2 linked regions of the Struthio camelus genome follow. The protein of the gene in region 1 interacts with the protein of each later gene in a pairwise test. Links are inferred from orthologs where the notes say so. Each region holds a gene or a part of one and is shown in the gene's direction. Other genes may lie near its edges. The genes, in order: GAREM1 and GRAP2.

Evidence for each region.
Region 2: the proteins of GAREM1 (region 1) and GRAP2 interact in binary tests that used the Homo sapiens proteins (3 or more experiments, as listed by UniProt). The link is inferred for Struthio camelus from reciprocal best matches to the Homo sapiens genes GAREM1 and GRAP2.

What each region holds. Positions count from the first base shown.
Region 1 is NC_090943.1:142,629,992-142,641,942, forward strand, and holds the start of GAREM1 (GRB2-associated and regulator of MAPK protein 1), read left to right. Parts: upstream 1-6,317; 5' UTR 6,318-6,384; coding exon 6,385-6,505; intron 6,506-11,951.
Region 2 is NC_090942.1:57,584,789-57,596,356, reverse strand, and holds the start of GRAP2 (GRB2-related adapter protein 2), read left to right. Parts: upstream 1-6,411; 5' UTR 6,412-6,434; coding exon 6,435-6,550; intron 6,551-11,568. UniProt on the Homo sapiens protein: Interacts with SLP-76 to regulate NF-AT activation. Binds to tyrosine-phosphorylated shc.

The sequences.
Region 1 (11,951 bases):
TGCGGTAGGCAACTTAGTATGCTTGCAGGTGTGTGACTCAGGAAGGGGCTGCACACTTACCCGCTGCTTCTGAGACTACTGTCCATGAGTAGCGTAGACACAGTTACTGAAGCCAGCATTTAGATCAGAATCTGAACATGAAGAACAAAGGATAATCCCTGCCTTAGATAAAACTGTAGCAAATGAAGAAAATAGTGCCAGAGGAGATGTTGAGAGGCTGTCTAGTTTGTTCTTTTATCCTAGTCCTAGATCAGCCAAACATGCTCAGTTGTAGGAAGGTGTTTGTTTAAAGACCTGCAGTGATGGAGATTCCACTGTCTGAGTAACTTTACTGAGTAATCCTTACTTAACTGGTTTGGCAAGTAAGAAGTTTTCCTAATACCTAAAGTAACTGCTACACATGGAAAGCAGGTTTTCTTTCTTCCTCATGTTTGTGAATACCACGGTCTGGCACCGTCTCCTCTTTAGACCAAAGAATTCCAGTCCCTCCTACCATTCCTTAGAGTCTGGGTTTTCTAAATCCTTTGCTGTTTTTGTTGCTGTCCTGATATTTTTGAGTTGGTCCTCAACTATCCTGTAGTACAGAGCTCAAATCTGAACACCATATTCCAGTTTAAATAATAAGGGCTGGATAGATTTAAATGATTTCTTCATTATCTTGATGCTCCTATTTATATATTCAGCAACTGCGTAAGATAACCTGATGTTGCTAACTGTTCACTTTGTGATCCATGATGCCTCTTTTCTAAAAACTGCTTTTTCATCCTGATACTTATTTGTGCCATTGATTATTCCTTCATACGTGTAGAATTTTGAATTTCTCGTTATTCAGTTGCCTTTCATTTTCTCCAGTTTGCCAAGATCTTTCTGAATCGTAATGCTGTACTCCAGCATAGTTGGAGCCCCTTCCTGTAGATGTGGTCTTCAAATGCGAATAAGTATACTCTATTTAGTCATCCAAGATGTTGATAAAAATACTGAAGAGTTCCGGACCCAAGACAGATCTCAGTGGAATCCCATTTGATACGTTCTTCCAGCTTGAGAATATAAATTATTTTGAAATAATTTTGCACTTGTTTTATATACTTCTCTAGACCATATTCTTTTCAGGTAAGAGCACAGTATATGAAACCCTATGATCTTCATTCTTTCTGCCCTCTCCACAAAGCCCGCTACCTCCTCATAGACTGATCTCACATTGTTTGGTATTGACAGACATTGTTTGGTATTGACAGAGGAGTCTGTCACTTCTCACTGTTACTTCTCTTGTCTCTGCTTTCTAGATGGTTACAAATGGTTGGATTACCTGTTCAGATCTTTCTGAGGAGTGGAAATTAAGCTAATCAGTCTGCAGCGCTCTCTCCTCCTTTCTACCCTTTAAGAGAGATGCAATGGTTGCCTTCTCCAATTTTCTGAACCCTCACACATCCTCTTTTGATTCTTGGAGATAGTCAGTAGCAGCTCTAATGTTGCTTGAAGCAGTTTTTTGAGTACCTAAGGGATTTCATCGGGTCCACTCTGCTCAAAAATCTTCATCTAAGTATTTTCCAATCTATTTCTTCATTATTCTAGCCTAAACTCTTAGCCCTTTGTCAGTAGTGCTAGTGGTTGAATCACATCTGCCTTCTTAAATTGAAAACTGAGATTAAAAAAGACATTTGGGATACTGCTGTCTGGGCATCATCAGTGAATAGATTCCCTCCAGAGAATAACATTAACTTTTTCCTTGGTCTTCTCACTGTGCATTTTTCCAACATCCTTGTTATCTTTTAATTCCAGTTATCTAACATTTTGAGACTTGATCTTTCTGGTGTTGTCCATACATGTTCTGCATATTTATACATATTGACACTTTAGTAATTTGACCTACTTTCTGCTTTGTTTCAGGTCACTGAAAATCTTCCAATTCAGCCAAGTTAGTTTGTTATTTCACTTCCTCTCCTTCCTCTGCAATTTTGCCTTCAGCAGTGGATCTTTAAGGAACTTGAAGCTGTCTTGAACTCACAGTTCTCTGAGTTTAGGTCTGCGTTCAGTTCTTTGTTTCTATTTTGCTGGGGTTTTTTTCCTCCTCTTCTTAAGACTGAAATTCACAATGAAAATAAACATATAAAAGATGGTCAGATTGATCTGTAATTTTAATTTCTCTATAATTAATCGGATTTTCAAACTATGGAATTCCTTCTGTATGTTATTCATTCTCACAACGTTTTCTATTTCTTGTGGCTTAGCTGCTGTCCAGTCACTGGCCTGCCCTAGGGAGGTACAAATTATTTAGGTTCCTAACCACAGCGAAGGTTGGCAGGACCCTACCCCTTCTCTGTTTAACACTCCAGGTAGCATTATTCCTCTCCTCTTTGCATTTTTGTTCTCCTGCACTGAAGCAACTTCTGCCTTTTTCTGAGCACAAGCATTGGGAGTATTCCTGGTCTCTGTCCACAGAGGTGTGCCACCACAGAAGAACTACTCTGATTAGACAGGTCAAAAAAACCCCTACCAAACGGCTACACAGTGTGTTTGGAGGCATTTACCCAATTAGAAAAAGGGTTGTAAGTTGAGAGCGTTATCTTCATTTACTTCTGAATTGTCTCTTAAGCTGGCTGGATGATAGCGTCACACAAATTTCTACTGAAGGAATTTTTAGAAGAAATAATGGTTAAATGAGGGGTTTGACTGGAAAAAAAAAGGATGCCTCTTACAATGAGAGAGAAGATAAAAGGTAAATGTACATACCAGAACGGCAGGTCTCTTTACAGTACCTTGTAGGAGCAAAGATTGCTTGGATTTTACCAATAAGACAGGAATAGTGTTCTCTTTCAAAACATGAGATACGCAGACATCAACTATACCAAATATGCTGTTCTCTTTCCACTTTCCCCCTCACCGCCAAGAAAGGTTTAAGATCCAGTTCTGAAATGATTGCTGCAGCTCCTCTTATTTTAAGTGGACTTGTGAACATTTACTTATCTGAAAATCAGGTCTGCTGTAAATGCAAATCACATACAGGAAGAAGGAGGGTATTTCTTTTTTTCTGTAAAGAATTTATTTTAAAGAAAAACTGTCTGAAATGGCTCCACAGCTAACATGTGAAATTTACTGTATAAGGCACATAATTTTATTTGGTGTATGCATATTAAACTGTAAAGCAAGTTACCAGACTAAAAAAACAGTTTCTTTTGAACAGCTCCATTTCAAATGCTACCATAGATATGAATGGATGATGACCTGAAACACTTTAAAAATCTTTTTACTGGCAATAGAATAAATATATTAGAGATTTTATAGCCTGCTCTATAACTGCATTGCTAAACAAACATGAAATGTTGTCAATTCAAAATGCACTTGAGAATAATTTCAGGAATTATTCCGAGTCCCCCTGCCACTGCTTACTTTCATGACTACCATTTCTTTTAGATACAAAAAGACTGTCTCTGAATGCTGTCTGAAAGACACATACACAAGAACTAAGGGCTCCTGAAAAAATGAGGCCCTGATCCTGAAATGGATCTGCTAGCACTCATTTCTGTAAAGGTTTATTGACTTCATTAACTTAATTAGTATTTTGCAGCAGTGTAGGAGACTTGGTAAGAGATCACACTAAAGGTCTGAGGCACTGCTAAACATCAGGGAAATGATTGTATCTAAAGTGTTAATTATACATAAGGTGCAGTTAAAACAAGGAAGAGGCACAGTTTCATATGTGCTTGTGATTTGAATGCTGTACATGTAATATTAGAATATATTTCAAGAAGGTTCAGCTACAGTATAATTAGGGCATGTAACAAGGTCACTCTAAGAGCTCTAGTGAAACAGTTAAATGCTAATAAGCTTTATGATGTTAGTTTGCCTGAAAATAACTAAATGAAATTTAGGCTGTGTCGAGAATTTACATTTAAAAAAATGCATTGTGTTCAAATAGAATGGGAAAGAGTATGTTAGGTTTCTACAATTAGAAAGCAAACAAACAAGAAAGGCTTAAAAACTGTATGACATATAAAACTGCCTGAAGAAGGAGAAATTAATCTTTAAAAAAAAATTAGCAATTGCTATTTCAGGTGTGAAAGATACATTTCTTCCCAGAAAGCAGAACTGCATGATGTTTGAGAGAAGCATATGCTGTGAGACTGTATCTATCCTGGAATTAACGCTGGCTAAAATCATGTTTAAAAGCAATTCTTCAAGCAATTCTTCAAGTCCTGGTGAATCCCACTGCATCCAGTAACCTTGTCAAACCTGAAAAAGTTAAAACCATTATTTTGATTTCCATATTTCACATAATTATGCTTTTAGCTATTATATCACTTTGCACTTCAATAGCTCCATTCACTGAAGCTGTTCAAAGCATTTTGCAGACTTTGTAAAAGGGATGCAAGTTACAAAAAAAAATCCACAATCCGTATGGATATTTTTAATGCTGTTATGATAACTAGGATCTAGTAGCACCATAACTGAATTGAGAGAATTATGGTTTGTCATAATTAGTGCTGGGAAATCCCAGTGCCTTGTCAAGGTGGGGTTCCAACCAACCCAGATCCATCACGGTGGAGAGCATGCGTGCAGCACCAGCTTCTCTTTGCCATGGAGCAGAACAAGCGCGTATCTGTCTTGGCCCTCCATGTGCCTGTGGTGCTGTTGGCACCAGCAGTGAACAAAGACACTCAGCAGGGCTGGCTCCTTTAGAAAGCACGTGAGGAAGCAGGAAGGGCAGGAGAGCTATTTGCACTGCAACTCTTGCGAGCTCTCGCCCAGCAATCGCCAACAGCCTCAAAGACAGATACCGCAGAAGACAGATCTTGGAGAGAGAGCCTAGTTGTGGATTTTTTCAGTCCTTTTATAAATCACTGGAAAGTACTTTTATAACGTTCCTAGTCAATCAGACAGCCTTAAGCATAGCAGAGCTTACTGTAATCAAATTTTCAGTTTTGATACAAAAGTGAATTGAAATACACTCAGCATACCACCCGGGAGTAAGTTTTCCCTGTTGAAGCTCCCCCAGTTTCTAGTCTAGCAATCTGGAGATGTTACACCTACCATAGGAAAAAAAAACCCCACAAGATTACAAGAAAAAAATTATGAAGCTTATATAAGGCTTCATTACATAAACCATTCCGAAAAGAGAACTAGTGGTTGATTTAAAATTTTCCTGTGGCCGGAAGATCACAAAACACCCACCCGGTGTATTTAATACTTGCATGTGCACTAACAACAAGTCAAAGATCTTGCTCTAACTTCTGTGTGTTACTCTTCATACTTTAAATATTCATTTGTGGCTCACAGCTGAAAACTAAAACAAGAGATACATGATCAAAGTTGTCATTTAACTGGATTATTCTTAACGTAGTATGAATTTCACAGGCAAATTACCTACGGTGAATAGTGAGAAGACTTAATGCAACATACTTGCTCAAAACCGCTTTGATAAATGAAGTGAAACATGTTATCTACTTACTGTACATTTAAATGTGTGTACAGATGGATCTCCCTGTCCTCTTGCTTCCTTTTGCTTATTTTACAGGGGAGCGGCACATGTAAATCCATGTGCTCGAAGAGACGCCAGAACCTTTCTAAGTTGCACGCCAAGCACGTTAAGGGCAATTAAATGATGCATATCGCCTCACTTTGTGCAGTGCTACGGCCTCCCTCGCCGTAGCCTCCCTTTCCCAACCCCAGTCCTGGGAACTGGCTGCAGGGAGAGCACTCCGATCGTCTTTAAAGGTCACAGCCTGGCTCCAAGGCGTAGCTTGATCTTCCCCGCCGCCCGCACCCCCTCACGACCGCCGGGAGGGGGGGGGCCCACACCCCCTGCGGCCGCTGCTGGGCGAGCGCGGCCCGGCCGGAGGGGGCCCCGCAACGGCCGCCCAACGGCCGCCCAACGGCCGCGCGGCGCCAACCGCTGCAGGTCGGGCGAGCGGTCGGAGGGTGGAGTGAGAGGGACAGGCTCGGCGGCGGCGGCAGCGGGCTGCGGCGGCGGCGCTCCCCCGCCGGGCGGGTAGCCCGGCACTTTCCTTTTTGGAGCGGGGAGGAGCGGCAGCTGCGCAGGCGTTTCTCGCACCCTGTTGATTAGTCAGTGCTGGGATGGCGCTTCCTGGGCCAGGCACGGCAGCGGGCAGAGCGCCGGGCGGCCCCAGCCGGTCCCGGGGGGCGGCGGCGGCGGCGGCAGCGGGAGCAGCCGCCCGGCGGGCGGCCCCTTCTGCATAGCCCGGCCCGGCATGTCCCGCGGCGGCCGGTGCTGAGCGCGGCGGGCGGGCTCCTTCCCTCCCTCCGTCCTTCCCTGCCTGCCCCTCTCGCCGCCTGCCCGCCCGCCTCCCGCTGGCGGCAGCCCCCCGCCGGCGCGGCGCGGCGGGGCGCGGCGCGTCTGGCTGCCCAGGCCGGGCGGAGGACGGGAAGATGGACCCCGGCCCGCCGCCGGGCTGCAGCCTCAAAGAGGTGAAGTGGAGCGCCGTGGCCGTCCCCTTGGACCTGCTCGTCAGCACCTACCGGCTCCCGCAGATCGCCCGGCTGGACAGCGGTGCGTGAGGCGGCGGCGGCGGCGGCCCGAGGCGAGGCGTCTCCCCGCGCCGCGGGGGTGGCGGGGGGCGCGGTGCGGTGCGGTGCCCGGCTGGGCCCGCGGCGGGCGGCAGCGGCCCGGCCGCGAGTTAATGGCCAGCCGCGGAGCCCGCCGCGGGGCCAGCCGCGGGGCGGGCTGGCGGACCGCGGCGGCAGATTCTCCCGTCCAGCCCCAGCCGGAGGGAGCCGGAGAGCGCTGCGGCTTCCCGAAACGCTGCCCCGTGCGGGCTCTGCCCCGCAGCCAGCCCTTAACGTGGGGTCGGCGCAAAGCTAGGGCTTCGGTTGGGGTCTTCCTGCGCTGCCTTGCGTCAGGATATCTGGGTTTTCCCCCCCTCTGCCCCCGCACCGTTACTGCATGTGTCGAGGGGCACTCGGGGAAGCCTGCGCTGCCAGCTGCCAGCCCCCGAGAAAGGTCCTCGAAGTCGCCAGTTAGAACATAGAAGGGCATTTGCAGTGCTTAAAGACCCCATATTGCGTTGAAGTGATGCTGTGGTGGCTACATCAAGGCCAAATAAGACAGAGTATTAAATAACAAAGTGGGCTAAATCACAAAATATCTGCTTGCCGTTTACTGGAAAAGCAACAGACCTGTAAAAGAGAGGGGTAACTTGAGAGGCCTTTTAAGTCTCCAGAAAACTTTTTATTACTCTTCACTTGTATTCTAACCTATGGTTTCGAAGTCTGCATGTTTCTGTTCACTTCAGGAAATCAAAAATAGTGCAACTGAATGGCTATCACAGCAACATCTTACTATTCCTACATACTTCTCTTCAGAAGTAGTAAGCTAGCACAGAGAACTGAGGAAATAATCATTTGGGGGTGTGTGTGCGTGGGTTTTTTGTGTATTTTTTCTTTATGACGCTCAAACAGCTGATGTATGATGCTGTGTATGTATGTTGTGTGGTAGCCCCATAAAAACTGTCTGACTCTCCCAGCCCTAAGGGAATGCAGAAGATATCTCAGAAATCAGGAAAAATTTCCAGACCTTATGATTCATTAGCTTATGAAGTGCCCTCGCAGTTATATGATCTAATGGAGCAATTCTCTTACAAAGTTTTGTATTGATTTGGACAGTTAAAAAGGGGCACAGGAAATGTCTTCTATTACTATCCTGTGTGCAGGTCAAGACCAGGATTGGTTTATTACTTAACTGCACTTCCCATAATCTTGCGATGATGCAAGCCAGGGTTTTTTTGACTTTGTCCTTTGGTTATGCAGTACATTTCCTATCCCTTGTAGTGCTTTCTTGGAGCTGGTGCTCAGGAGCAGGTTAAAGAGAAGGTTCTTTGCCTTTTTAACTGCATCTGACTATTTTTCATTATTATCAGCCATACACTGTCCTGTGATTATAATGGCAAAGCTGCTATGTTAAAGAGTTCCTCCTGTGGTAATACCTTTTGTCACTTGAAACAGCTAACATGGCCTCCCAGTCTCTGCACTTTAGGCTGTCAATTTAGTTGAGATTGCTGGCAGTGATTCAGACTTTAATAGGCTATATTGATGACTTACTAATTTCCCTGTCTCTGTGTTATACTTCTTCCTAACCTCCCCATTCCTCTTGACCTGTCTCATGGAAAGGGCCCTGCAAGAACTTTGAGTGCAGAGAAAGTTGATGAGTTATGAGGCTAGTATCCCCCCCCCCAGCTATTTCCCACCCTTCTTTATGGACTTTTGTGGGGAGGGGGTGGGCAAGGTGGTCTCGTTTCAGAACTGGGGACAGGAATGCACCATAATTCACCATAATTGTTGGGGAGACAAAAATGATGCTAACTTTGTGCAAAGGCTTTTTCTCCTGTGTGCCACCCTTAAAGCATATGGGCACACACAGATGGAAGTAGACAGACCTGAGCTCTGTTGAGCATGCCCTGAGATGGCCAGACATGAGACAGCTGTTGGTCTGGCTGTATGAGTGAAGGTCCAGCCCTCTACTAAATCCTGCTAAAAGGCAGGCTTGGATATAGCACTGCAATAAGTTGACAATTTGGCTTTTGAACTGGAATTGGTTCAGGTCTGGCTAGTTCCGAGTTGGAGCAAGGGCTTGTGGGTCTGCTTTTACCTGCTCATATGGACATACTTTTTCACTTCTGGAATGACAGATGGCAGACAAATCAATATTTTATAAAGAATATAGATGCCATAGTCTCTCTGGTACTAAGAGCAGACTTTTTCTATTTCCAAAGGAAATTGTCTTGCAGTAAGAGAAAAGCAAGCCTTGAGTCAGCATGTGGTCTGCTAAAGGGGAAAAAGTTGGGAACATGCAATATTTGTGTAGAGTCTGGAGCACCTGCTGTTCCACGGTCATTGGTCTTCATCTCTGTCCTTGTCTTGCTAAGTGGAGCTCTGTTGGAGAGCTTCTTGATAACATACTGATGAAAATAAATTACAAAGTCCATTCCAAATGCATATTATCTGATGCTTATGAAGTTTAAGGCTATCTCTGTTAACCAAGTAGTGTCTTGTACCAGTTTTATCAGGATGCAGTTCTTTTCTCTGCACCACTGAAATGTACAGCTTGTAGATACTCATCCACAAGTCATAGTTTTAGTTTACACAGAAGTGACCTTGTCTGTTCATTAGGTGCTGAATTCCTCTTGAGGCCAGTGGAAGCTGCACGTGCTTTATACTGTTGGAAATCAAACAACCTTCAGATGTCTTACGTACATCCCATTTAGATTTCATAGCTAGCTAGTATGTCTGTGGTAGCTGGTTGTTTCAGTGATTGTGAGGTTTTATCAAAGCCAGAATTCATTTTCTTTGGAGGACCAGGATGTAGAAGGGAATTGAAAAGTTGGTAACATATTTTCTTCAAAGACGACAGCCTTACTGTGTTGTTTCTACATTTCTTAACGGAGGTGAATGCTCGGTGGATATTATTCTTGGATGATATGCACATAAGGTCCTCAGTCTTTCATTGTTGCTGCAGCACCTTTAGGGCTTTCAGATTGAAGTGGGGAAATGGATATGATGAATATTTCCAGTTGGGGTGTGAAGCTCCTGGAAGAATGCCCTTAAGTAGTTCAGTTTGATTTCTTGACAGAATGAAGTTATGAAATATTTATGTGCACTAAATTCAGTCCTCTCCTAGGAAGGGAGGGCTTTTTTTGATGGTATGGCGTAAAGGAGGAATGCGAAGTAGTAGTCTTATGTTAAGGTATCTGTGGAAGTAGTTAGGCAACCATGTCTGCCTTATCTATATAGAAATGAGAAATATGTCAACTTTAACTGTTTTTTTTTTTTTTAATATGAAAATTTAAGATTGCTTAGCTGGGTTTCGGGTCATGTTTTTGGATGCTCATAAATGATAAGTTCTGTACTGTATCATTTTGAGGGTCACAGCTTGCGTAGTGTTTCAATCTACTCTTGTATTTTAATATTTTGCTGGTGAATATTTGTATATTAATTGAACAAACTAAATCCAAAAACACAATGCTCTCACCCCTTAGAGAAAGGGAACTGCTTTTTCCATGTTCTTTCCAACATCTAGTGGCTTGAAGATTTCTAGAGGATAGCTCAAATATAAAACTGTTAACACCTTACCAGTGAAAATAGTGAAATCCAAAGGATGATATAAAGTTCATTCAAGTAGGCTGTTTCAGATGGAAAGAAACAAGATTCAAAGAGTGACAGATGAGCAATTTTTCTGTTGTATTTTCTTCTATCTTCTCTCCCTGCCCGCTCCTTTCCTCCCTCCCCCCCCCCCGCCCCGCATCCCCACAAATTTGTGTTGTAACAGCGGAAAGCTACCCCAATGAAATTGAGGGACTTATGTGTGGGCTCAGTGAGAAAAAAATTGCACTCTGGCAACTAGCAGCAAAAAGAGCTTTTGTCTGAGTTTGGTTGTTGCAAATACGGCGAAACGTGACCATAGCTGATATTGGAGAAGCTTGGATGCGCTTGGAGGTTTGGATTGCCTGTGTTCAGATAATAGTAAAAGAGGCTAAAAGTCGTTGTATGGTTGTATTTTTTTGCTAATCTGTAACGCTTAAGTGATGTTGCACGTGGTTATCTCAGGGTTTTAAATTTCTAAAAACTATTTTTCTAAGGATAATTTTAGAGAGCTAAGGAGAAATGCTATCAAGATTAAGAGCTGGAAAGTGTCGCTTTGCGTAGAGTTGACCTTCAGGCCTAGCTTTTCTGCATGTAAGCTCACTGCTCTCTTCAGACTCCAACAGTCCCTCATTTTTTACCCAGTGGGAGTTCCTTTTACCCTGCCACTACTGCTTAATTTCCACAAGTACTTAAAGAGCTGACTATGCTATCAGTTGTTTTGACCCACAGAATGGGTATGAACTAGAAAAGTTCACAGAAATGCACAGGTTCTCTATGAAGACTAGATTTTCTGGGATCAAGAGGGGATGCAATCCTCTTTTTATTTATTTTTTTCACAAGGGACAATCGTACTTGCATATGCTCCAGAAAATGTGTTATGGAAGCTGAAGCTCTTGGGATCGAAACATAGTGGCACTTGTTTGGTTGTGTGAAGACCTCAGCTTGCACAGAAGTGCTTTCCTGCTATGCGCTATAAGAAAACTATACTGAATTTTTCTGGAGTGGAGTCTCTAGGTCCTTGTTGGTCACTAAGATTCAGAAGGAAATTCATCTCTATGTGGTGTAAATGTGTGGTTGCTTTAAGATAAAATGACAGAATTAGTGACAATAAAGAGAGGGGGGAAAAAAATCCGTAAAATGGGTGAAAAATCTGTTTTAATTTTTTTTTCCTTAGCCCTGACTACACTCTTGTGAGTAACAGCACTGGGAGAGTAGTGAGTTTGTCTTGCTATTGCTGTTGGGGATGAAGAGGTTTTATTTACTGCACTATAATTCCCAGTTCTCCTTGGTGGGATTCCACACTAGATGCACTACTTCCCCCCACCCCTTTTCCCCTTAAGGTATTCAGGTGCCCTCTTTCTCTCCCGTTTCAAAAACCTTTCACCGTGATGTCAGGCTACTCTATTCCCTTTCAGTGGACTGTTGTTCCTTACAGCACGTTATTGCAGGGCTTAATCTGGTTCTAAATGTCTTGAAACCGAACACCCTTGTAGCTTATCAAAGAACATTATACTAAATAGACCAGCGTGGCCATGTACATAATGAAAATTTCATATTGCGTCACTCCACAAATGTGGGTTATCTGTGAAGCTGAACAATGTTTTGAAACTACAAAGAATCTTATTCTTCTAAGGTCTGAGGGCTGATATCCAGGCTTTAATTGTTGTGAATGATCTTCTTTCAAGCAGCTATTGCAGAGTGTCTCAGTAATCCATTATTGATACACGGGAATAAGAATCATGTAGGGGAGGAGTAAAACTTTCAAACAGACCAAAAAAGAGAATTCATATATGCTTAGACTCTGAGCAGCTGCCATGGTCTAAATTACTGTTCTAGGTATGGCAATCTGTTGTGTACTC
Region 2 (11,568 bases), on another chromosome or scaffold:
AAGGTATAGTGTTTCTGGAAGCTTATCTGTTTTTTTTTCAGTTGTAGCCATTACTCTAAATTAAAGATATCGCTTCTCCCTTCAAACTTTCTCTTCCTCTACCTAGTTTCACAGCATTTTCTGTTTTTCACGCTTCTTACCTTTCACTCTTGCAGCCATATGCTGGTGCCCTCCATTTTTGCTGATTCAAGGGCAACAGCAGTGAGGAAGTTATACCATGCATACAGTGTTATACTTTGCCCTCCCCATCAATTTGCAGCTTGACAGCAGCTCTCTGTGGCCACAAGCAATATCTGAAAGTTTGGCAGGCAAGAGGTTGCTGTTAAGCCACGGGTCTGGGACTACTGCTGTAGGCAGTCTCCTTTGGTTTACTTTTATTGCCTCACGTAATGAAAATGATATTCATTCAGTCTCTGATATAGGCAGTCAAAAGGGCCTAACCACAAAGGCTGAGAAAATGCCGATAGTTTTACCACTAACTAAATATTTCTAGCAACCCTTAATATGCCTATGTGTTTGGGGGTGATTTTTGTTTCTTTAGTTTTTACAGTATAATAAGGCCCTGTCTTCCTTTACCTTTCTCACTTTTCTCCAGAGTCTGGTTTTGGTTTAAAAGGAGCTTAGCCATTCTGTCTGCTTTCAGTTCCTCAGAATGTTATATTGAATATAATGATTGTCACACACTTGATTTAAAGCTCAGGGCTGGCTGCAAGCCATATTCCAGTCAGCGCAAATGGCATCCATAAATCCCATATCTTTCAGAAATCTTTACTTTGCAGCTCCCTTGCAGGAGACTTCTTGGTTTGTTCAGCTTAGTTTTCCGCCATTCTTAGTAAATTTGGGCAACAGCAAAGGAAATACACAGTCCCATCAGGGGTTATATGGTGGTAAATTTGCTTTTCCTGTGTAGGCCTTTCATCTTATTGTCTGTGTACATTTTTGTCTGTCGATGGCCATTTTGCCCATTTGTCCTTGAGATGGGTCGGTATGAATTCTCTCACTTTATAACTAAGGTCAGGCCTATGTGCATGGATGTGGTATCGCTGAGTTACCTAAGATGGCAGAAGCACTATAGCCATACTAACTTGACTAGCTAGACGGTCTGTAAAAACGAACTAGCCTTCTGAGAACTGAGCTTTATGGCTTTCGGTACCCCAGCCATTTAAATATCTCCATACGCAGTGACACCGTACTATGTGGACGTGCCCTACACAAGCCCTGAAGTGGCTTGCCCAGGGGTGCACAACAAATCATTATCTGGTCTGGGGCTGGAAACTGCTCCCTGGATTCTTGATCTTGTTCCTTAATCACTAGACAAAACTGCCTTGTTTCTGCATTTTATAGTGGCACTTTCATTTTAAATAGGATTTAAAACAAGTACTTTTTAAAAGGGAGGGGGGAAAGGGACTTGCACGAACAGGAATAAAACTTGTAGCGGTATGAGCTAGGCTAACAAGTGTATGTACTATAGCCTTCATGCTTTAAGTTACAAGCTATTCTCATGATATAACCATACGAGCCCTGTAGTGGATTGATGCTTTACTTAAATGCTTCTGATGTTTGGCCACTAGTGTCCCAGGGGTATCGGGCATATCCAGATGGGTAATCTGGGTGAAAAGAAGGGTATCTCTTTTTCTTTTGGCTATAGCTCAGAACCTTGTCTCTGAAGCACAGTCACTGTAAGTACTATTTCCGGAGGGTGAAGATGAGAATTTCAAGAAGATGAGAATGAAGGAAAGTGATCTTGGAAGGGTCTGAGTTCTTCCTGTAGCCTTAAATTTTCTTAATCATTCTGCTGATTAAAGAATCATGCTAACACACCATTTAAATAACATCTAAGCAGGGGAGACTAACCTTTGAGAAATATGCTTGCTAAGAATGGCCACATTATCATGGCACTGAGATCACAGGTCAGCACTGTGAAGTATTATGAGATGAAAGAAAATGACTAGAATGCCTAAATGAACAGCATGCACCAATACATGATGAAATCCTTTCTTCCCTCTCTTGGAGCTGCAAAATCCATCCTTTCTCCCTCTCCCCTACTCTGTAACCTTTTTTACATACTGCTTTATCTTTTCAGAGCAGTGTACAGTACTAATTACATGCCATTTTTTTTCCTGAGGCACTATATGCCTTGTGTTCTCCAGATTTTCCTTGCCAGTTCCCCAATTTTTTATTATCTCAGCATGACAAATTCCCCAGCGATGCTTAGAGTACAGACTTTAACCCCTATAGCTTTAGACTTCCTTTATTTTAAAAAAATTGGCTACATAAAGAACAACATCAAATTAAATACGTTTCCAGGTCATAGCACCTCCAAACTACAGCTGAGTTTTGGCACAGGAGAAATTTGCCATAACCCCTGTAATCTAAACAGGGATTATCTCAGGATGTGGACAAACTTTTAAAATTGTCTCTATGCATGAATGTGCTCTGGTAACCTTTTTTTCCGTGTAGAAGAGTATAGTGTCTAAAGCTAACATACTGGAGGCATTCTGTCTGACTGTTTGTACATAGGATTTGCTGTACCAGATGAGACTATCCATCTGTTACATCCAGTACGCTACCCAAACAGGGGTCAAAACATAATGATTCTGAGAAAGGTGACCTAACCCTCCATCAGCCAAGTGTTCAGAGCTCTATATAGGGGTGGAACAATCCTAACTCTAACAGGGTGAGAAGTTTACAGTGTGAAAGCGTCAGACTGTATTTAAGTTAATATATATAAAAATAGTGGCATCCTTTAACCATTACATGTTTGGCTTTTTCTTTTTGAATAATCCTAATAGTGTAACAGATCTGTGAGATTAAATCTGTGAAACCCGAAAGAAATTCTCCTAATTTACTTTATTGTAGAGGATAAATAAATGTAGTCTCAAACTACTTTCCTATCTTGAACAGGAGTTGAATCCTAATTCATTAAAGTAATTAGTACTTTGAGTTTCTTAGTAGAAGGAGATGAATAGACAGGCAATATTACATTGCTGAAGATTGTATAGGTATTGTCATGTCGTTACCTTCTGCAGCAGCCATGTACAGCGGTTACTTTTTTCACCTACTGATCTGAGAGAGCATATATTGCTGTCTCCCATATGCCTAAATGGTTTAGTGTTGTCTTTTCCTTTTTGTGTAATGAGCCCATGCAATAATCAAAGCCTCTGAATGTTTGTGATCTCAGATTAGTTTTGAATAATGTTTAAGAAAATATTTTTTCTTTTCCGTGACATCACAGCAAGGTAATTCTCAGTGGGACTGATACCACCACACATAGTTAAAATTTCATCATTCAGAGCCAGCAACTACTTCTCTCTATTCCCAGCAGAAGTGAAGCCTAGTGTCCCTGCTGAAGGACTATGGAGTTTCTCCTGTCAGGAGAAAATCCTGCTGTGAAATGATGAATATTTTGAAAGGGTCATTCTAGCTGTGGGCAGATCGAGTATCTTGAAAGGTCACTTTGTAGCATTCTCTGAAGGAAAAAATTGAACACCAGGGTTTTTTTGAAGAGGAAATTTTCAGTAAGAAGTATGGTAGAGGGAAAAAGGGCTATTAATCTCGGAAAGATCTTCAAATGTTGATCAGTTTTTACTGATCTTTAGGGAGTCTGAAGATTTGGATTATTCCATGTTTGAGATCATAGAAACAAACAGAAGATCAAACACAAAGCAATAAGTTTCTTAAAGGGCCCATATTTAGAAGTAATTTTATCTCATAAATTAGTTAATAGATTTACCTGTAAATTCTTAGAAAATTCAATATGTGCTCTTAGTACTGTAATTCTTCATGTGTGCTGTGCCTCTCATACATAACAAAGACACTGAATCCTTACTTTAAACGCAAAACTCCACTCAGCTGTAACTGCACAGACATGACAAGTACCTCCTATAATATTTGCTAATAAATTTTATTCTGATTTTTTTAAAACTATTTTTCAACGTTATTCTGATTTGCTCCTCTTGGCTATTGAGGTTGCTGTGGGAAACGAGACTGAAGCAAGTACAGGTGTTGTCTGAAGAGGTTAATCATTTGTTATAATAGCAACTGCAGAATGGGTTCAGAAGAACTTTTGTCCAAATTTTCTGTGCAAAACTATCCATAGCGTCTGAGGGTCCGTGCCTTAAGCACCCAAAGCTCTATTATTAATTAGTTCTTTTACAGCAAGGCTTCGGCTGTCTTTTGGACACTGTTGACGCTGGATGCTCTGCGCTGACATAGGTTATGTCTTCATTGCGAAAAGTAGGCATGCTTTTAATATTAAAGTGGTTTCCTCTAGGTACTTACCTTAATGTGGAAGTTCAGCGAAGAGAAAGCGCTGGTGACTTCATGTCACTGAGGCTTGCTAGGGTAAATACAATATACCCTACCTGGAAGGTACCTCAGGTCACTACATCAAGATAATGTTTTCTTTGGCAATTTACTATGCAATAGCTGTTGTGTTAGAAAAACACATCAGTTTTTGCAGTGAAGGCAAAGTCATAACAGAAGAAAACCCTAGCCTCAACAAGCTCTCAATCTAAAGAGAGAGGTGAATGAAGAGAGGGAAGCACAGAGGGATGAAGATGAAGGACTTGTCTGAACAGGGAGCTCTCTGTGTTGTTGTACTGGGGTAGTAGTTTGGGGTGGTTCTTTGGGAGGCCACTGGTACTCCAGAAGAAGAGTTCCTCTCCTGGTTTGCTTTCTGCCTCTTTGGTAGCACCTCAGAGCTCCCCACACCTGCTGTCCGCTTTACCTGCATTATTACTGTGTCACTGTAATAAATCATCAGGGGGGCCACGCTGGGCTGAAGGATTCCTTTCCTCACCACAGCCAGCTGAAGGCCTCTTAGTGTTTTATATATACCATAACTTACAGAGACCCTGGGAGTGGTAGCGCACTGGTAAACACCACTTGGAGTCTTTTAAGCACCTTGTGATTTTATCTGGTAATTTTGGGGAGAGTTCTAAGGAAAACCTCAGCACTTCAAGAGATGGGTTTAGTGACTCAGAGAGAATCAGTACTGAATGATATGCCCTAGCACATTTCTTGCACTTGATACTCAAAACTGTGGCTTTGACTGCCTGTGGTCATCAATTATCCTTCAGCTAATTGCATAAGACTAAAGGTGTTTGCCCTGATAGCCCGGGCAGATTTCAGTTTGCCTTCTGCACATCTGACATTTCAATTTTAATTGGGCAGTTGTTGCTTCTGCTTCTAGCCTGCTGTGCACTGCTGAAAAACACTGGAGGATGGATTTCATTGTTAGGAGAAGGAATAGATAGAGTCAGGGAAAGTGGCGGCCAAACTGGAGGTGCCCTCCAGCGCAAAGCTAGGATCAAAGGACACGATCATCATGCTTTAGTATTCATGCTTACTAACTCAACTACCCCTCACCAGAAAGTGTCCAGAGAAGTGCTAGTCTCAAGGAGGCTGTGGCAAGAGAAAAGCTCATAATAGGGCTTCTTAATTAAACCACTGGGTAGTTTTAACAAGAGAAGCCAAAGGAGCAGCTGTAGTCCTTTGAAATGCACCAGGGAGAAACTACAGCCGTGTGTGGCCCCTCCACCCTGCCTAGCACTGCTGCATCCCCCTCTGATGAAGCCAATCAGGATAACAAAAATGCAAAGTGAGTCTGAATTTAATTCATGGTTTGTAAAATGCATTGGGAATCTCTTGAATTCAGTACGTTTAATTTTACTTTTTAGTTTGAAATGCTTTTTAGCTTTTGAGCAAAATGTTCTTTTGCAATGTTGTTCTCCTGCTCAGTCTAAACAAACCTGGCATGACATTTTATAAGGGAGTGGCTTTGAATGCATCAACTTCTGCTATGCAATCTCAGACATTTAATTGCCTTGAGCTTTGGAAGGACTGAGCAGCTACTTCTTTCCTTGACTAGCTGCAGAGATGAGCTAGTCCAGCTTGTCCAGGTTGCTGTCCAGACTTAGCAACCAAGAAACAACATTTCCAAATTGAGTGAATGCTTTGGGGATGTTTGCGGTTTAGTTTCTTTTACAAAGATGATCACTTTTAATATAACTTAATTTTTGAAAAGCTGCGGACTGAAAAACAGGGCTCATCTTCCAGACGAAAGAAGCAACCTACTGTAATCAAATATAGCAAGATATGCAATAGTAGTGAAAGTGAACATTACAGTTTTTTAATCTTAAAGCAGGCAAAATAGATACGAGTAGAAGCAACGGTAATAGAAACAGTAATAGAAAATGGAAGCGCAGTGAGCTTTTTTTTTTTTTTTCATGTGGAAGCAGCAGTGTGGTATTGAATGTGTTTTTAGATGTATTCACGCTGGATAAAATTCACCTTGTTTGTCTCAGACGTACCACTAATCTGTATTTTGAGGGGTTAAACCTTGTAGCAGTGCATGGAGCTTATTTAAGTCTTGAGACAAGTAACTCTTGCCATTGGCTGGTTTCCCACTGCAGAGCCTTACCACACTCACGATGCATCTTGAAGGGCAAGAGCTGCACAGTTCCTACAGCACGCAGCTCTCGAAACTTTCTTATGCAGACTTTCTAAGGTATCTAGCAGAGGAGCACCTTCTTGCAGACCGTACAAGGTACATGAGAGACCATCCTGCAGTGTATAGCCAAGCAATTTTTTTCTACAGTCTCTAGACTGCATAATTATTTTTCCATTCTGGAATTTTCTTCTCCTTTCTTCTTTTTCCTTTTTTTCTGGTCTGAATTCTATCTACAAATAATGATTTTTAATGGAGTATTAAGCACAAAAAAAGTCAGAAAATGATGATTGTAATGCTAGCCTCGTTTTAGTATGTGTTTTGATAATATGCAATTGTATAATTAAACTCTTGCACTGAAGTCAATAGCACATTATGAATGTTTTTTACAATCTTGTAAGGTGCGTAGTGAAAGGAAATCTCAAATCTTTTAATGCAGGTCTTGTACCTAAATGATTTTCAGTATGCCTTTGATCTACAAAGGCATATAATTTATGTTATTGCCTGAATGAGACTGGTGCTCCATTAGAGCAGTCACTGTAGAAAGATGGGGTTACATCCTCATCTAGTATAATTTCAAAGTTAGCCCTGCCATGAGCAGGGGCTTGAACTTGATGATCTCCACAGATTCCTTTCAGTCTTAATTATTGTATGATTCTACAAACGGTCCCAACCCACTGGGCTTTGTTAAGTTGCGCCATATGGAAGAATAACATTTGCGACTGCCCGTCACTCCAAGGAGCTTGCAGTCTAAATAGGAAAGACAGGCAAAGGGTAAGGAAAAGAGATGTAACATAGAAATGCAGTAAAGAATGCAATAGACTGTCAATATTATATCATGTCCATTTTTTTTTTGTTTTCAACTCTTTTCATGAGATGATTCTTAGATGACAGAACTGCTGTCCGCACTGTGTATTCAGGAGCATAATTGTAGAAAGAAGTGTGCATGATACTTTGTTGCGTTATAGAAGAAATAGCTTGTTGTCCTCTCCTCAAAAACCATAGGATACTGTTGAACACAAAAGGTGGTTTCTTTAAATGTCTACATACCCATTTCTGAGCCTGAAAGCAAAGTCTAGGTGAAACGATTGTTCTCTCATAATTAAGCAAACTTGTGGGACTGAAGTCAGTTCTCAGGGGATCTGTGAACTGGATTGCAGTTGTCTGCTGTAGATCATGTTGTGCCTCTCTGCCCTCATTCCCTGTGCTATGGTATCCTCAGCACATCCAGAGCTGCCTCCTGTGTGTTACCCCTCGCTTCTACACAAGACCCATGTGGGCTATAAGGAGTTCTTTTATGTGGAGTCTCCCCTCAGTTCAACACTAGTACCGATGGCTATTAGATCTTTATGTACCTCAGTCTGTGTGCCTTGGAGTGGACTAGACATTGGATTTCCATCTCATTCCATTTTATCTTCTGTACAACGCCAATATAAGCCTAGTTGGGTAAGTTGGAATTGCGATAATATGCCTCCAATTGCAACCCAAAGAAACAGAATAATTCATTTTTTCCGATTTTTTTCAAGCAGAATTGTACTCACTTCTTATAAGCTTTATTTAATAGGACAGAAGCTACGTAGACTAGGCCCAGCGTTTAGGTTTTCTGAGAATGAAGGGTATGAAACTTAATATGAATACAAATACCATAAAGGTACACTGTCATTTCCATTAAAGCAATTCTGTTTGGAGATTTAAGTAGTGCCCTTCATTGTTCTGTATGCACCTGCAGCACTGAGCAAAAGTGACTAAATCTGAAGGAGACAGTGTCCAGCCTCTATTAATTCACCAAGGTTAATTGAGTTAATTAAGTTGCAGAATCGGGGAAGGGGAGGGGATGGATCTGCAGTGCTTTAAGCAGTAAGTCTTAATAATTTAAAGGGTGCAATAACCTGGATATTACCAACAAATAAAAATAATAGCATAGATCTTGACAGTGCCCTCTACCTATGCAGCATGCTGCAAGTCTCTTGCTCTGGGCGCAAATACACTGTTGGCTCCGTGCAAAACTAAATATGACTGCTTTTAGCTTGAGGCAAGATCCCAGAGCTCTGCTTGCCCCACTCAACTGATGTTTCATCTCTTTGAGATTTAGTTCGTATGTGGCCCACTGAGTCCATATTCACAACAAATTTTCCATCTTCCATTTAAAGCATTTACTCCTTGCGATATAACCTTGAGTAGTCTCATTTAGTATCTTTTATGTTCACCTCCTTCAACCTCTGAAAATATTTCCTGCATGATATTTCAACCAGATCTTCATCTCCGTACTGATAGATAGGTCTTTTTCTTAAATGAGGGCTAAGTGAGTGTCTTTGTCCAAAATTTCAACTCCAAGTACAACCTGAGGCTCCTAAGCCTCATCGAGGAGCACGTATTTTAAGATGGCTTAATGCTCGGAGCTGCTAAGTATGCACGGATCACAGGGACTTCAGTGTGAGCTACCAGCAGTCAGACTCTCTGCTTTAACTTCCTTGGGAGTATAACCAGGAGTGGAGGAGCATAATGTTAGGCCAGATCCTACCTGAAGAGGTTGACGTGCATTTTTTCCATGGAAGTCTTTAAATAGGTGATTCATTACTGCTGATGTTTGACTAACACCTAAATTGCAGCTTCAGCTGACTTGCACTCATGCTCTGGGGTGCTCCTTGTCAGCCCCATGCGCACAGCACACTTGTCTACTCTCCGAGAGTACACAGACCAAGTCGTTTGCAGTTGCTCAGAATTGTGTTTGCCAAGGAAAACACAACACACATCACTTGAAGCATGCTCACAGGACCTCTGTTCCGCCATTCAGGCACAACGCAAATGAACATCTTTCATTTATAATCACATCCCTAGAGAAACACATGTTCGAACATACTTTTGCTCAGACGTGTTCAGGCTTGCAGGCAGAATGCCTGCTCACATACAAGTGTGGAAAAGTCACCTGCTGCCTTGTTCCCGCGGACAGGCATGTAAGCCCACGTTCTCACACACATGCAGTCTGCTGTCCTCCATGTGTGTATCGTAGCGAATAATTTAAATCTCTCTCTTCTCATCCTGCTTAATATGCAAATGTGGATAGCCCATCAAGATTAGAAATAAATGTAGCAGAATGACTTCAGGCAACCTGAAATGTCGAATGACTCATTCACACCCTTTGCGCAGCGTTCCCTTTTTGCCACATGCATTCTGTTGACTAGTCAGAGGCTGTGCGGTTCGCTGCTGCAGAGCAGCAATCGATCACTTGCTCGTAGAAGGAGTGAGGCTGTGATTATTTTTGCAGGCTGTGCAGGGGTTACGCAGTGAGGTTCCAGTTAGCCTGACTGCTGTGAAGGTGCCTCTGCCGTAGGAACGTGAATTGTAAGATGTCAGGCCTGATCTACCTAAAGGAACTTTATGTGTTTGATTGAGTCTCAGTCTGCACAGTAATTCAGTAACCGATATTCCTACATCATGGTATTGCCTGGGTATTTTTATTCCAGATGATGAGAACCTATTCCAATTTGATATAGCTCAATTTTGGATTAAGATAAACAAGAACAAGTCGCTCCCACTTCAGAGTAAAAAATGTCTACACGTTAAATCATTCAGGAACTGCTGCTACACTTTAATTTCAAATGCATCATAATCCAAGTGAGCTAAAAATGCATAGACAAATATGAAATATGTTCCACGCTTCTGCTTAAAATGGTAAAAATTCTGTGCAGAGACCATCCCTGGGAATAGTAACAAGCTGGCATTCATGTTTACTTTATAATCAGAAGAAAAATTGGATGGACTGTTGGAGTTGCATCTTTAAATGTATGTGTTATTATAATTGATTGCTTTTAAAATCCTTTCAGAAGCATTCCCAAGTGTGATACACATGGGCTGACTTTAATTTATAGAAAGGCTCTTTTCTAGCACTTGGGCCTTGTAAAAGGGGTGCTGTGTTTAAATAGAAGTTGAGCCCACAAGATACCTTAAGAAGAAAAGACATAGTTAATACAACACAGAGGCTCAGAATGTGAGTTACGTATGCAATTGGTGCCAGTACGCAATGGAGGTACCACAGCAATGCTCATTATGTCACATGGTACGTACTTCTGGTAACATTTCAGGTTATCTGTAGTTACTTAAATGTGAAACTTTGTATATAATTTGTATATACTCTCAGAACATGGCTGCAAGCTGAAATTGGCAAAGTATGCATAACATGACCAAGATAAGATGGCTCTTGGAACCTAATTATCAGATTTCCTATGCTTGTGCTTACATTATCATAGCGAAATCTATATTGAACTAGACTTTTATATTTAATCCTGTTGTAAAAGCACAAGAGGAAGGGAAAAAAATGTAAGGAAAAAGAGATGAGACAAAAACTTTTCAGTAAAAAACACAACTTGCGCAGGCAGCTGCCATTTTGTACAAAAATAGATCTACGGTTAAAAGGACAGAGAAGGATTACGTTTTCTCACTGGGTTAACGTTACTTCTACTTTTGTGCAAAATTTTATCTGTTGGCATATGTAATTTTAGTAGTGGAGTGACAGATTTTGCACAATTGTCTGTGCTGCCAGGATGAATCTTAGGCAAAAGCAAGGAAAACAGCAGTTTCCTCACTGATCTCATTCTTTTTCCTCTTTTACTCAAAATTCTATCAGCTGGCATGATCAGAGAAATATGCAGCAGCTGATCTGAAACGCAATATTATGTACCCAGCAGTATATGCAGGCAGATTTTAATACCATTTTGTTCACATATGCCACTCAACTGTATTGCTGTATCATAGAATCCAACATAGGAGTATAAACTATTTTTATCAGACTGGATTAATGCCATAATGTAACGAATTCCCTAACTCTGCCCAAAATTAAGGATATGATAGCCTCCTATTGCATCCATCATCAGTCACACATGAAGAGAGGAGGTTCTTCTTGACTGTTGTGGAAATGAACCAGAGACATAAGGTGAACTTATTCATTCCTACTTTAGCATGAATAATTACAGAATTGTGTCTATATTTCCATTTCACATTGTGAAATGTATGATCATGCGCAGACAAAGGGAATTTGCCATTCACATGTATGTCTAGTGTGTATTCACATGCAGACCTGCACAAATACCAGAAGAGCTCAGCTCCTAGTTACTCCTGTT